3 linked regions of the Kluyveromyces lactis genome follow. The protein of the gene in region 3 interacts with the protein of the main gene of each other region in a biochemical or structural test. Links are inferred from orthologs where the notes say so. Each region holds a gene or a part of one and is shown on either strand. Other genes may lie near its edges.

The links. The genes of interacting proteins can lie anywhere in the genome.
Region 1: of the proteins of UBR1 (region 3) and CHK1, one has a biochemical effect on the other in vitro, tested with the Saccharomyces cerevisiae proteins (3 studies listed by BioGRID). The link is inferred for Kluyveromyces lactis from reciprocal best matches to the Saccharomyces cerevisiae genes UBR1 and CHK1.
Region 2: of the proteins of UBR1 (region 3) and MGT1, one has a biochemical effect on the other in vitro, tested with the Saccharomyces cerevisiae proteins (3 studies listed by BioGRID, with this or other methods). The link is inferred for Kluyveromyces lactis from reciprocal best matches to the Saccharomyces cerevisiae genes UBR1 and MGT1.

Annotation. Positions count from the first base shown.
Region 1 is NC_006042.1:119,374-123,046, forward strand, and holds CHK1 (serine/threonine protein kinase CHK1), read right to left. Parts: upstream 2,188-3,673; coding exon 628-2,187; downstream 1-627. Other genes in the region: DNA-binding protein RIF1, read left to right, coding at 1-572; KLLA0_F01298g (UBX domain-containing protein), read left to right, coding at 2,615-3,673. UniProt on the Saccharomyces cerevisiae protein: Serine/threonine-protein kinase which is required for checkpoint-mediated cell cycle arrest and activation of DNA repair in response to the presence of DNA damage or unreplicated DNA.
Region 2 is NC_006041.1:168,237-170,961, reverse strand, and holds MGT1 (methylated-DNA--protein-cysteine methyltransferase), read right to left. Parts: upstream 1,198-2,725; coding exon 628-1,197; downstream 1-627. Other genes in the region: PET494 (Pet494p), read left to right, coding at 1,966-2,725. UniProt on the Saccharomyces cerevisiae protein: Involved in the cellular defense against the biological effects of O6-methylguanine (O6-MeG) and O4-methylthymine (O4-MeT) in DNA. Repairs the methylated nucleobase in DNA by stoichiometrically transferring the methyl group to a cysteine residue in the enzyme.
Region 3 is NC_006042.1:1,413,455-1,417,552, forward strand, and holds the start of UBR1 (E3 ubiquitin-protein ligase UBR1), read right to left. Parts: upstream 2,840-4,098; coding exon 1-2,839. Other genes in the region: putative ubiquitin-protein ligase UBR2, read left to right, coding at 3,761-4,098. UniProt on the Saccharomyces cerevisiae protein: Ubiquitin ligase protein which is a component of the N-end rule pathway. Recognizes and binds to proteins bearing specific N-terminal residues that are destabilizing according to the N-end rule, leading to their ubiquitination and subsequent degradation.

The DNA.
Region 1 (3,673 bases), about 1.3 Mb from region 3:
TAATTCGAACGGGGTGCCAAAAAGTCGTTGAGCCTATACAAAATTCTAATGACAATGAACCAGTAAAAATGGCTGCTAGTGTACAATCCGAAAAGCTTGAAGCAGAAACAACGCAGAATGCAGTGTCACAAGTTTCATCAGGGGAAATGGAAAAACAAACGCCTTCTATTAAAGATAGCAGCACTGAAGTCAGCGAATGTCTGCCAGGTGTTGCAAATAATGATGAGATATCTAAGAACCTTGATACAGTGACAAGCGTTAACTCCCCATCTGGGCTGCCTCTGAAGATACCAATTTTTAATCCTTTCTTTACTGATGTTATCAAACTCGAAGAGGATCTTGCTTCGAAAGGCGATACCTATATATCAGGGAAGCGGTCTTTAGAACTGATGAACTCAGCTGGTGATGTTGCAAGTGCAAATTGTGAAGGACAGCATCATACAAAAAAAATTATGCGAATTGTTTCAAGTTTAAATGATGTCGATATTGATGATGTGAAGTCTTTAAGCAACAACGATAAGAAGCTTTTGAGAAAGGTAATGTATAATTTTATGTTAAACTTAGAAGATTAAGGACATGTTGCAGTCAGATTTTTCCTATCCATAACAAAAATATTTCTCGGAATGATCAATTTACGTAAACAATATCTCTACAGAATACAGTTATTCTTTTGAAAAAGCGTCTCCATTCTAACGGGTCACCCCGTTTCCTTTCAAAAGTAACGGATTTCAGATCACCTTCCAACTGCATGATGACTAGAGATCCTGAAAGTGGGAGCTTATTTCTATCATATGTTTTGAGCTGTATAGACACAGGATAGGGGTTACTCTCTCCGATCTGCCGTTTCAGTTCCAAGAAATTATCGTGAAGATTTCTACTCACTCTAACACCATATGCAACCAAAGCATTCTCTAGGTCTGAGAGGATTACACTAATATCATCAGTAGAGAAAAATTTAGTTAGCCTGTCAGATGAAAAGTTAGGCATTAGCTTCATATCATTAATATTAAACTGCAAGGAAGCGAGATCTTCTTGGATTCTCTTGGTTGAAAATGGCTCCTGCGTCATTAATTCCCTTTCACTTGAAAAATTCGTGCTGCATGTAACCTTTTGAGTGGCAGAGTAGCCGTTTCGCAAATTAGCCGGTAAACTATCTATATGTGCAAGCTCACGATTGAGAGGTTGGGTGAACGACATCTTTGCATGTTGATTGGCAAACACTTCCTGCGTAGAAGATAAATAATCGGCATCTGATAGAGAAACTTTAAGCTTTGATAGTAATTTTTCTGCAAGCAAAGAAGGATTTTTACAAAGGCCATTTTCATCTGCAAATTTCGGATTTGTTTGATACCATGTATGTTTCCGTAAAGTATCCAAAGAAGCTCTTTTCTCTGGATCTGGTTGTAATATTTTTCTCAAGAGATTCAATTCAACGAAATCTATCTTCAGCCAAGATCCCTGATCTAGCTTTCCTTCGCCTTTAATAAAGTTTCTAAACGTTTCATCGTCCTCGTGAGGAAGTTCCCAAGGCGTTTCTCCAGTCAACAAAACGAATAATAGAACACCAATGGACCAAATATCTGTCATATCAGCATAGTACCCATCACAGTATATTATTTCCGGTGCCATGTAGGGAAGACTTCCTCGTTGATCTCTAGAAATACGTTTTGATCCATCTTTTCTCTTGAACAGCGATGCTAGCCCAAAATCTGCAAGTTTTAAATTCCCATCTTTATCCAATAGGATATTTTCCGGCTTGATATCCCTATGGGCAACACCACAGGTATCATGCAGATAACTTATAGCTTTTATAAGTTGTTTATAATAGAATTGGGCGACTTCCGAGTCGACTCCAATGTCAGGTTCGATTTTATCGAAAAGATCACCACCTTCAGCCAGTTCCATGGCTATCCAAAGAAACGGATCAGAAAGATTGCAATCTATAACCTTTAGCACATTAACAAAATTAGAGCATCTAGAATGTAACTTAACTTCCCTCAACACATCTTCCTGACTCATACCTTGTTTCTCACATGAAGGAAGATGTATGAATTTGACAGCAATTACAGTGGACGGATCAACTTCTAAACTAGCTCTCTTCACAAAGGCAAAGGAGCCCTTCCCAATTGTTCTTCCTAGTTGTAATCCATCAATATGAGGGAGCTGAGCTATCTGTGAAAAGCTCATCAATACATCAATCGAAGTGTTCTTCTTTTACTTCTTTTTTGTTCTTGTCGGTTCGTATCTCAGAAATCTCCAGCTATATCAGCCAAACGCACATTCAATATTTACGCAACTGATGTGCTCAAAATATCATCCAACCGTCCTAACTGAACCCCAAGTGATTTACCTAGGATAACACGTCGGAGACTCGTATATAAATCCCGTTTTCCCCATAAGTATCATCATAAAACTATTGTTTTTCTTTTCTGATCAGATCTGCGATAGTCATTAGTTTCTGTCATTTCTTTGCATTTATAAAAACGTACATTGAAAGGGGTTTTACTACGTTTATAGTTTAATCAGTGAACAATAAACAAATCCGATACTGTTGATAGAAGCAACGAAGCAGTGGTGAGCTTTTTAGGAGTGGTAAGTGTAAGATTAGGCAAATATGAATACGATGGATACACTGGATACGCATTTTGTTTCCTCTGTGGAAAATGCGGTACAAGAATCATTGCGAGAGAACAAGGCGTTATTGGTTTATACTACGGGCGGAGATAATTCGTGGTTTGAGTCGTGGTTTACACCACTTGTAGGGGAGCAGTTGAAGGATTCGTGCGTTTGGTTACGTTTAGCTGCTGGAAGCAGGGAAATGGGTTACTTTGAGCAAATATTCCCGGATGTGAAGGTTCCTAGCGTTTATTGTATTGCTAAGGGACAAATAGTGGAGATGATAAATCCAGATCAGTTGGACATGGACGGATTTGCTACTAGGTTGATCCGGGCAGTTGGTAAAAGCAAGAGGAGAATCTCTGAAACGGATGCCGTTGATGCATCCAATACCGTTGGTGCCGCTGGTGATACCGGCGCCAGGTCCGGTAGCTGTCTGTCACAAAATGCGAAATTGATGGAGTACCAAATAAAGGCCAAGAAGCACCAGTTGACAGAACAACAGGAAAGAGAACGTATTGTTAGATTGATGAAAGCGGACCGTGAAGAAATGAAGCAACGAAGATTATCGTCATCATCTCCAAATCATACTAAGGAACACATCAATGAAGTATTGGCTGTACCCATTCACGATAATATTAAAAACAGAGATATAATAAACGCAGCAGTGTGCACCTTGCTTATAAGATTAACAGACGGTAAGACATTGAAAAACGATTTCGATTCGTCTCAAACTTTAAACGATGTAAGGACTTGGGTGGATGCCAATAGGACAGATAAGGATGGTCCGTACCAGTTCCATCGAAGTATTCCACGTGAAACTTTCACAGAATCACAAGAATTACTATCTTTGAAAGCTCTGGAGCTTACTCCAAGATCTGCATTAATCTTGAAGCCTTTGGAAAAGCATACATATTCTCGTAAGATTGCAGATGTAGAAGGACCAGGTTTGCTTGGGAAAATGTATCAGAACGTGACGTCCTGGTGGTACGGTAAATCAACGGTTGTTGATCAAAATATTCCTGAACCTGCTGAAGCATTAACATCTCAAGCTTCA
Region 2 (2,725 bases), on a different chromosome or scaffold from region 3:
ACTCAGCAATAATTAATACTTGACCAGAAACAAAAGATACCGTAAGAGAAGAAACGGTAAGAAACTAGCTTTCTATGGCAAGAACATGGGATAGAGTTTAAGGTTTACATTTACGAGTGGATGGTTTATTTCGAGACAGAATCGTGTTTGTAGAGAATGTACTGCAAACAAAAACCAGCAGAAGTAAAAGTCAAACCCTTCATGTCGTCGAAGCAAGTTGAAGAATTAAAAGAACAAAAAGAACAAAAAAAACTCACACAGTATAATGTCCCAAGTTGTGAGATCAGCCGTGCAGCACAATTGAATGTCTTTATTGAAAAGATCCCCCTCTCCATCCGATAAGTAGTATGTTAATTATATCTGCTGCACCCCACTATCATACTCCTCGCAGATCGATAATGATTCAACTCTCCAGGATTTCCATATTTTTTCTTGCAGACGCAACCCTCTCGAAAGACAAATAAAGACAAAAGAAATAGAGACAAAAAGACATTTTATTGAAACACACACAGAAGAGAACCGTAACGACTGGGTCAAGTAATCCTTGAACACATTTGGGATTTGTGTGCCGTTTCAAACACGGTTGGTTGCAAATAAGAAAAAAAAAATTCAAAAGCTATCAGTCCACTAAATTGCTTGTTCCTGCCTTAGTAGTGATTCTTTTAGTTCAATTCCCCATCTGAATCCTGTCAGTTTACCCTTAGAACCGATGATTCTATGGCACGGAATCACGACAGCAATGTTGTTTTTCGCTAGAGCAGAACCAATGGCTCTCACAGCTTTTGGATTCCCTAGCAGAACGGCTAATTGCTGATAAGAAATCGTAGCACCGGCCTTGATAGTCTTTGTAGTCTCCCAAACCTTTTTTTGAAATTCTGTTCCAAGGAGATACTCACATTTGATGTTCGTTTGAGAGTCAATACCACCAGCCAGTATCTGTAAAAAATCAAAGCTCAACTGTTCTAACCATGCCACATCGTCTGATTTTAAGATGGATTTATTCTTTAAGGTATAAATAGATCCTTTATTCTTTGACAAGGAGTTCACTTTGGATACAAATTTCTTAGCATCGCCTAATAGTTTTGGTTTCGTTCCTGACAGCGAAACGAATACAAGACTTTTGGTCGAAGGTTTGACCACGATCAGCACATTTGCTAGATCGTGCTCCATGAAATCGTACACTAATAAATGGGACATAATGTGCTTTGTGAAGTGCACCAAGCTTGCTTTCTTTACTCTTGTCCTGCCCTTTTACTGACGTGTTGCAGCCATTCTTTTTTTTTTTGGGATATTGGAGTTATATATACCTGGATGTACAGCATCGGAGGTTGACCGTTCGAGAAAAAGGAGTTCTTCCTCCTTAAGGTTGCATACACCACACATTCCTTCGCCCCTATCTGCGAACCACACTGTTTCCTATTGTAAGCATTAGCACGCCTGCCAGTCTTGCTGTAGTTTCAAGATGTAGATATGATGTGAGAAATGATATACATCACGTGATACTCTCTCGTTTTTAAATAAGTTATAGAGATCCGAACTACTGTAGCATATTCATATCGATGTGACTCCCGGTGAAGCACCTACTACAATAAGATGAGATTATTAGATTACGTTTTATTCACGGGTGCAGCCATTCAACCCAACAATCTTTTCATTTCGTCAAATCATGTGTCAAATTTGTAGCGCATCGCAGATTCCATCCATATATCTCCATACTATTTACCACCAAGGAGAAAGAATTTCAGCGAAATTAAAAATTGAATACTAAGTTAAAATCAAACGATATATGGAAATGAGCTGACCCTGCGAATTCATGAAAGAAGCCGGTAACAAGACACACAAGAGAATTAATAATTTGAAAAGGGTTGATCAGGGAGAATACATACGACACAGATTAGTTTTCCCTCATTGTTTCTGTTTCGAAGTTGATGGGTCAAGCTTAGAGTGGTGTTTTTCCAATTTAAAATGCATCTTCGTTGCTGTTTTCGTTCAATGGCACGAAGGTTTCATACTAGTCGGAGGATAACGCTACAATGGAAGAACAAGATGTTTCAAAGTACCCCACGTCTACAAAAGGGTCAACAGAGGTATTCAGAGACGCTTTGGAAATATTTCAATGCACCAGGTAATGCGTTTTTTGTTACGACTAATGTAGTTACGTTAACAGGGATGGTGATATATTCTACCGTATCAACGATGTCAAGACAAGCAACTATAATAGATTCGTTGGAAAACGGATTTGGGGTGGAGAATAGCCTTGATGCAGTTTACGATGATAAGCAAAATTTTGCGGTACCGAAGAGACCCCGCTCTGAGGTCTCCTGGAGAGAGAGCAGTCAACTAAAGAAGCAAGCTATGGAACAACGAAGGTCAGAAGTGATAGGAGAAAGTAATAATGCTGCCGCCGACATTGAGACTATTTCAGATCCATTTTTGGATTCTAATCCCGAGGGGAAAGGTCTACAATCAGCCAACTCATACATGGTAAAGATGGGTATATTTTATTTATTTTACTCGTTCCATATCTATAAGAAATCGTTGGAAACGGGAGTTGAGGTTAATGACAAGATGTTGCAAAAGCTTTTAGACAACGTACCGCAGAACGAACACGATCTCCATGATATACAGAATGCGGCGTTTTATAAGAGTTGGCGTCACGAGTTTGGAGCATTATTGAAGAATTTGAGTAAGGCACAACATTTTAGTGTGCCGAAGCCTGAAAGTT
Region 3 (4,098 bases):
TTAGTTTGAAAACACCATTATCTTCGAGCCCTTTGGGCTCAATGTACGTAGAAACTTCTTCGAGAACTGTATCAAATTGGGAAACACTTTCAGTAAGGTAATCGGGTATATCGTTCAATAAGTCAGTGTATGATAGTGGTTCAGCGTATAGTTTATAAATAATGGCATTCTTAATGTTGTACAATTGTGTTTCTTCCAGGGTATCGAACTTTTTATAAAAGTCTCTTTCCACCAATATCTGATATAGGAATGCAACGAATTGTTGAATAATCGACGATATTTTATCATCGTACACTGTCTCTGTCGAGGGAACACTTCCATCAAACCAGTCAAGTAATTCCCACCTATCTAACATGTTATAGATGACTCTTTGAAAATCGTTTTTTTCAATTAGAAACGCCAATTGATTAAGTTGTATGTCTCTGCTATAGGAGCTCATTTCAGGATTGTTCTTGTAATATGCTGACTGGTGAAGAACTGACATACCATTTCTAACCCAAAATCCTATATCGATTTGCGAACATAAGACGACAGATCTCAAAGCAAAATCCGAAATAACTAGATAGTCTTTGGATTGAGATAAAACTTGAATTGACACCTGTAAGGGAACATGCTGCACAAGGAAAGAAAACAAAGTATGAACGGGATTCATAAATGAAACTCGTTCTTTGCTGATTTGGAATTTTATGATTTCAAAGTCTTTGTATAATTTGTATGACAAGTTTCTATGTCCCAAAAATGAATCCAATAAGTTGATGGCCCCAATAAGCAATCGCTGGTCAATGTGATCCTTTGATTGCTGCAAAACTTTATCAAAAGTCTGAATGATGCTATAGACTGATGTCGTATACTCCAAATATGGAATAAAATGCTGGTCTTCCCTTAAAACATGCTCTCCTTCCTTTCTTTTAATCTTCCATGCGCCGTTGAAGAGTTTACATAGTGTTACAATCATGATAAACTCTCCCGGTTTCAACAATAGATTAGGGTCAGTGATTTTACTGAGTAAAGTTTCTACAGCATACAATCCTTGTTTGAATGATATACTGTAGCTTTTAGAAGGGTTACTTCTCTGAACCCGTTGCCAAACCAACGTGCCCTCATCCATGGTAGAAAAGTCAACAAAAACGTCAATCACTGACCATATGACGTAGTTGAAATGTCCACTGTGAAAAATACTGTAAGCCGTAGTTGGGCAGGTGAATAACTGAACGACACTCTCCCTTAATGATGTAAGTTGAGGTTCACGATCCATGAAGGTCACACTTCGTGTCATGTGTGGGAAAATTTCGACTAGCTGATCAGTAAACATTGGTTTGTGCACAGCACTTGATGCTAGTGTTGGTATAATTAGATCCTGAACTATTTTTCTAAGCTTCTTCCAGTACCTGTTTTCGAGGAACAACACGTATTGCAACCTAGAATTAGTATATTCATGATGATCTTCTGCTATTACTTTATTCAAGATGGGGGAAATAGCAGATATGTCTCCAGGATCTAGGGATTTATGTCTTCCAAGAGGGATCTTGACACCTTCACCCAAAACCGAATGATCCGCATACAAATATGGATCATCACTCAGGTAACTATCTGAAAAGTAATCTCTAACAACTGAGGTCATATCGATAGACTGATAAAAAGGTTCGTACTTGGAACATAGAACTTTGCCTATAGCATTTCTGAAAAGGCTTTGGAAAGTAGAGTTTGGGATATTCAAACAATCATTAATCCACATTATGCTATACTTACAGGCTTCTTGATGTAGATATTCATACCATTGAGTTATTGTGCAGCTCAACCCGTTACTTTGAACGGAAAAGAATCCTCCCATTAAAGATGCGATATCAGCGCTGCATCTCAACAATGATCTCCCCTCAGAATCGATCTTCGCAGTCAATAAATCAATATGTTTGTTATCAGGCCCACCTTGTCTAATGGCAGCAGAAGCCTGCGAATAGTTATGAAATTCATCGTTGTATACCAAAATAGCATAATCTTTAAGTGTACTCAAGGGATCTAACGATGTAGATGGCGTTTGTTGCTGGGACTCCTCTTCGTCCATGTATTGATTTCTATATGCCAATCGCCTCAGCATGTCAGCTTGTTCATTATATTTCCCGTTCTGGATGAAGTATCTAAGTTTCGCAATGAGTGGTTTTTGAATTGTTGTTAATGGCTCAATGTTTTGGTTGAAGACATCGATGAAATGATCAAATAATTCTATTAGGACGCTTTCTAGCATCTTAGAAATCTTGCCATCATGGTCGTCAAACTCGTCTTCCAAACGACCATTATCTTCAGCACCTTTACAGTTCAATTCATGGTTCCATGCCTCCTTGTCACCACAATCACATATACCGTTATTGAATTCTGTGCAGATCGACGTATATACGTGATGACCAACGTGATCCTTTGGATTGAAACAGTTTACACATAGCACACAAGTATCATCAAATGAACACTCCTTACAACGGTAGATCGGTTCGCCTACTCTAAACTTCGCACCACATATTCTGCCAGCGTGGTTGAATTTCGAATGCCCGCCATTCTCATCGATCTTATACCAGGGTTTCGAACTCAGCTTGATTTCCATTGCTTGGTCGACATTCTTGGGGAATTCACGCTCATTTGTAGCAGTAAACATATGCGGAAGAAGCCTACCACTGTCTGAAATCATATAGTAATAATACCCATATATGAAACTCTTGAGCTCTTTATCCATAACTGCTCTCTCTGCAGATCCCTTTATATCTTTGAATTCAGGCCGAGAATGAATGCAGCCTAAGGTTCGTCCAACATGTTGCCGCAAAAACGACTCTGGGTCAGTATCGTTAATCATATTACCTTAGGGATTGTTCTGATATTGCTATGTTGATGATCAGTTGTTTATACGACAAATCAACCTGTATTGAACCTTTGTCAACTGTGCATTGGCAAGGAAAGTCAAAACTCTTTTCTGATATCGTATTCCTTTTTTTTTTATTGAATCTTTCAGAAGATAAAAATGAATCCTCTCAATGTATGTGGAATTTGACCGAAGCAAAGTGTAAGAAGTACCCTAGAAATAATCATTTCGGTTCCATAAACACAATTGAATCATTTAATAAGCAGGTTATGTTTGGTAGCAAGTGGTACACTGACCATCAATACCTTCTTCTTCAAATAGGTTGTCAAAATAATCTAAATAAAGCATTTCTTTCATGTCTTCGATTTGTAATCCAACGTTGTTCTCAGCACACAATTTAGCGAAGTTATATAAATAAAAAAAACTACGATTAAGTTAGGATTCCAGCTGCAGTTCAACGTCTCGATCCAAAGAAGCTCGCCTGTTTCAAAGTCGTCAGCCCTATAAATCCCTGACTTTTGGTTCAAAAGTAAGTCACGTGACTGATATTCGGTCATGTGACCACGGTCAAACATCAAAATATTTACAATAATAGTCCCTCTATACACTCCATAGACACTACCCAACTGATGCTAACTCCATTGTGATTTTACATCAGGTATCCTAAGATATTCTTTTTTGTGCTCTTCGTACTAATGTTTAAAGGTGGCAAATGCCTCGAATACTTGCTGAAACGAAAAACTGAAAGTAAGACAAGCTTAAAAATGTAAATAGTAAATAGATAAATGGATGCACGTTATATCAAGGGGCGCGCTTCTTGTTTTTGCTCTGTTAATAGTGTTCATTTTAGGTTTGAATGACTAGCAAGCCAAGACCAGAAAGAAGCAGGTATTCTTTTTAGCGAGTCCATTTAAGATGGGCGAATCAGTGCGATGTCTGCGTGATTTTTTGGTTCACTTTGCTCATTTCTGCAGGTACAGATACAATGATATGTGTTCGTTTTACCTTTGGAAGGTTCTACTCACCTGTATGAACCATTGTAATGAGGAAATAAACTGGGAAGATCTTACTCATGTTTTTGGGTTAAATCAGTGGGAAATGGGCGATTTTGGGAAGATCAAATTGAGATCTAACTGGCGTGAGTCACTCATACCGAAAAGGAAACATAACGATCATCGAGGTTCGCAGTGTTCGAAACAGTGCCATGGCACTGAGACCGTTTACTACTGCTTTGATTGTACAAAAAATCCGTT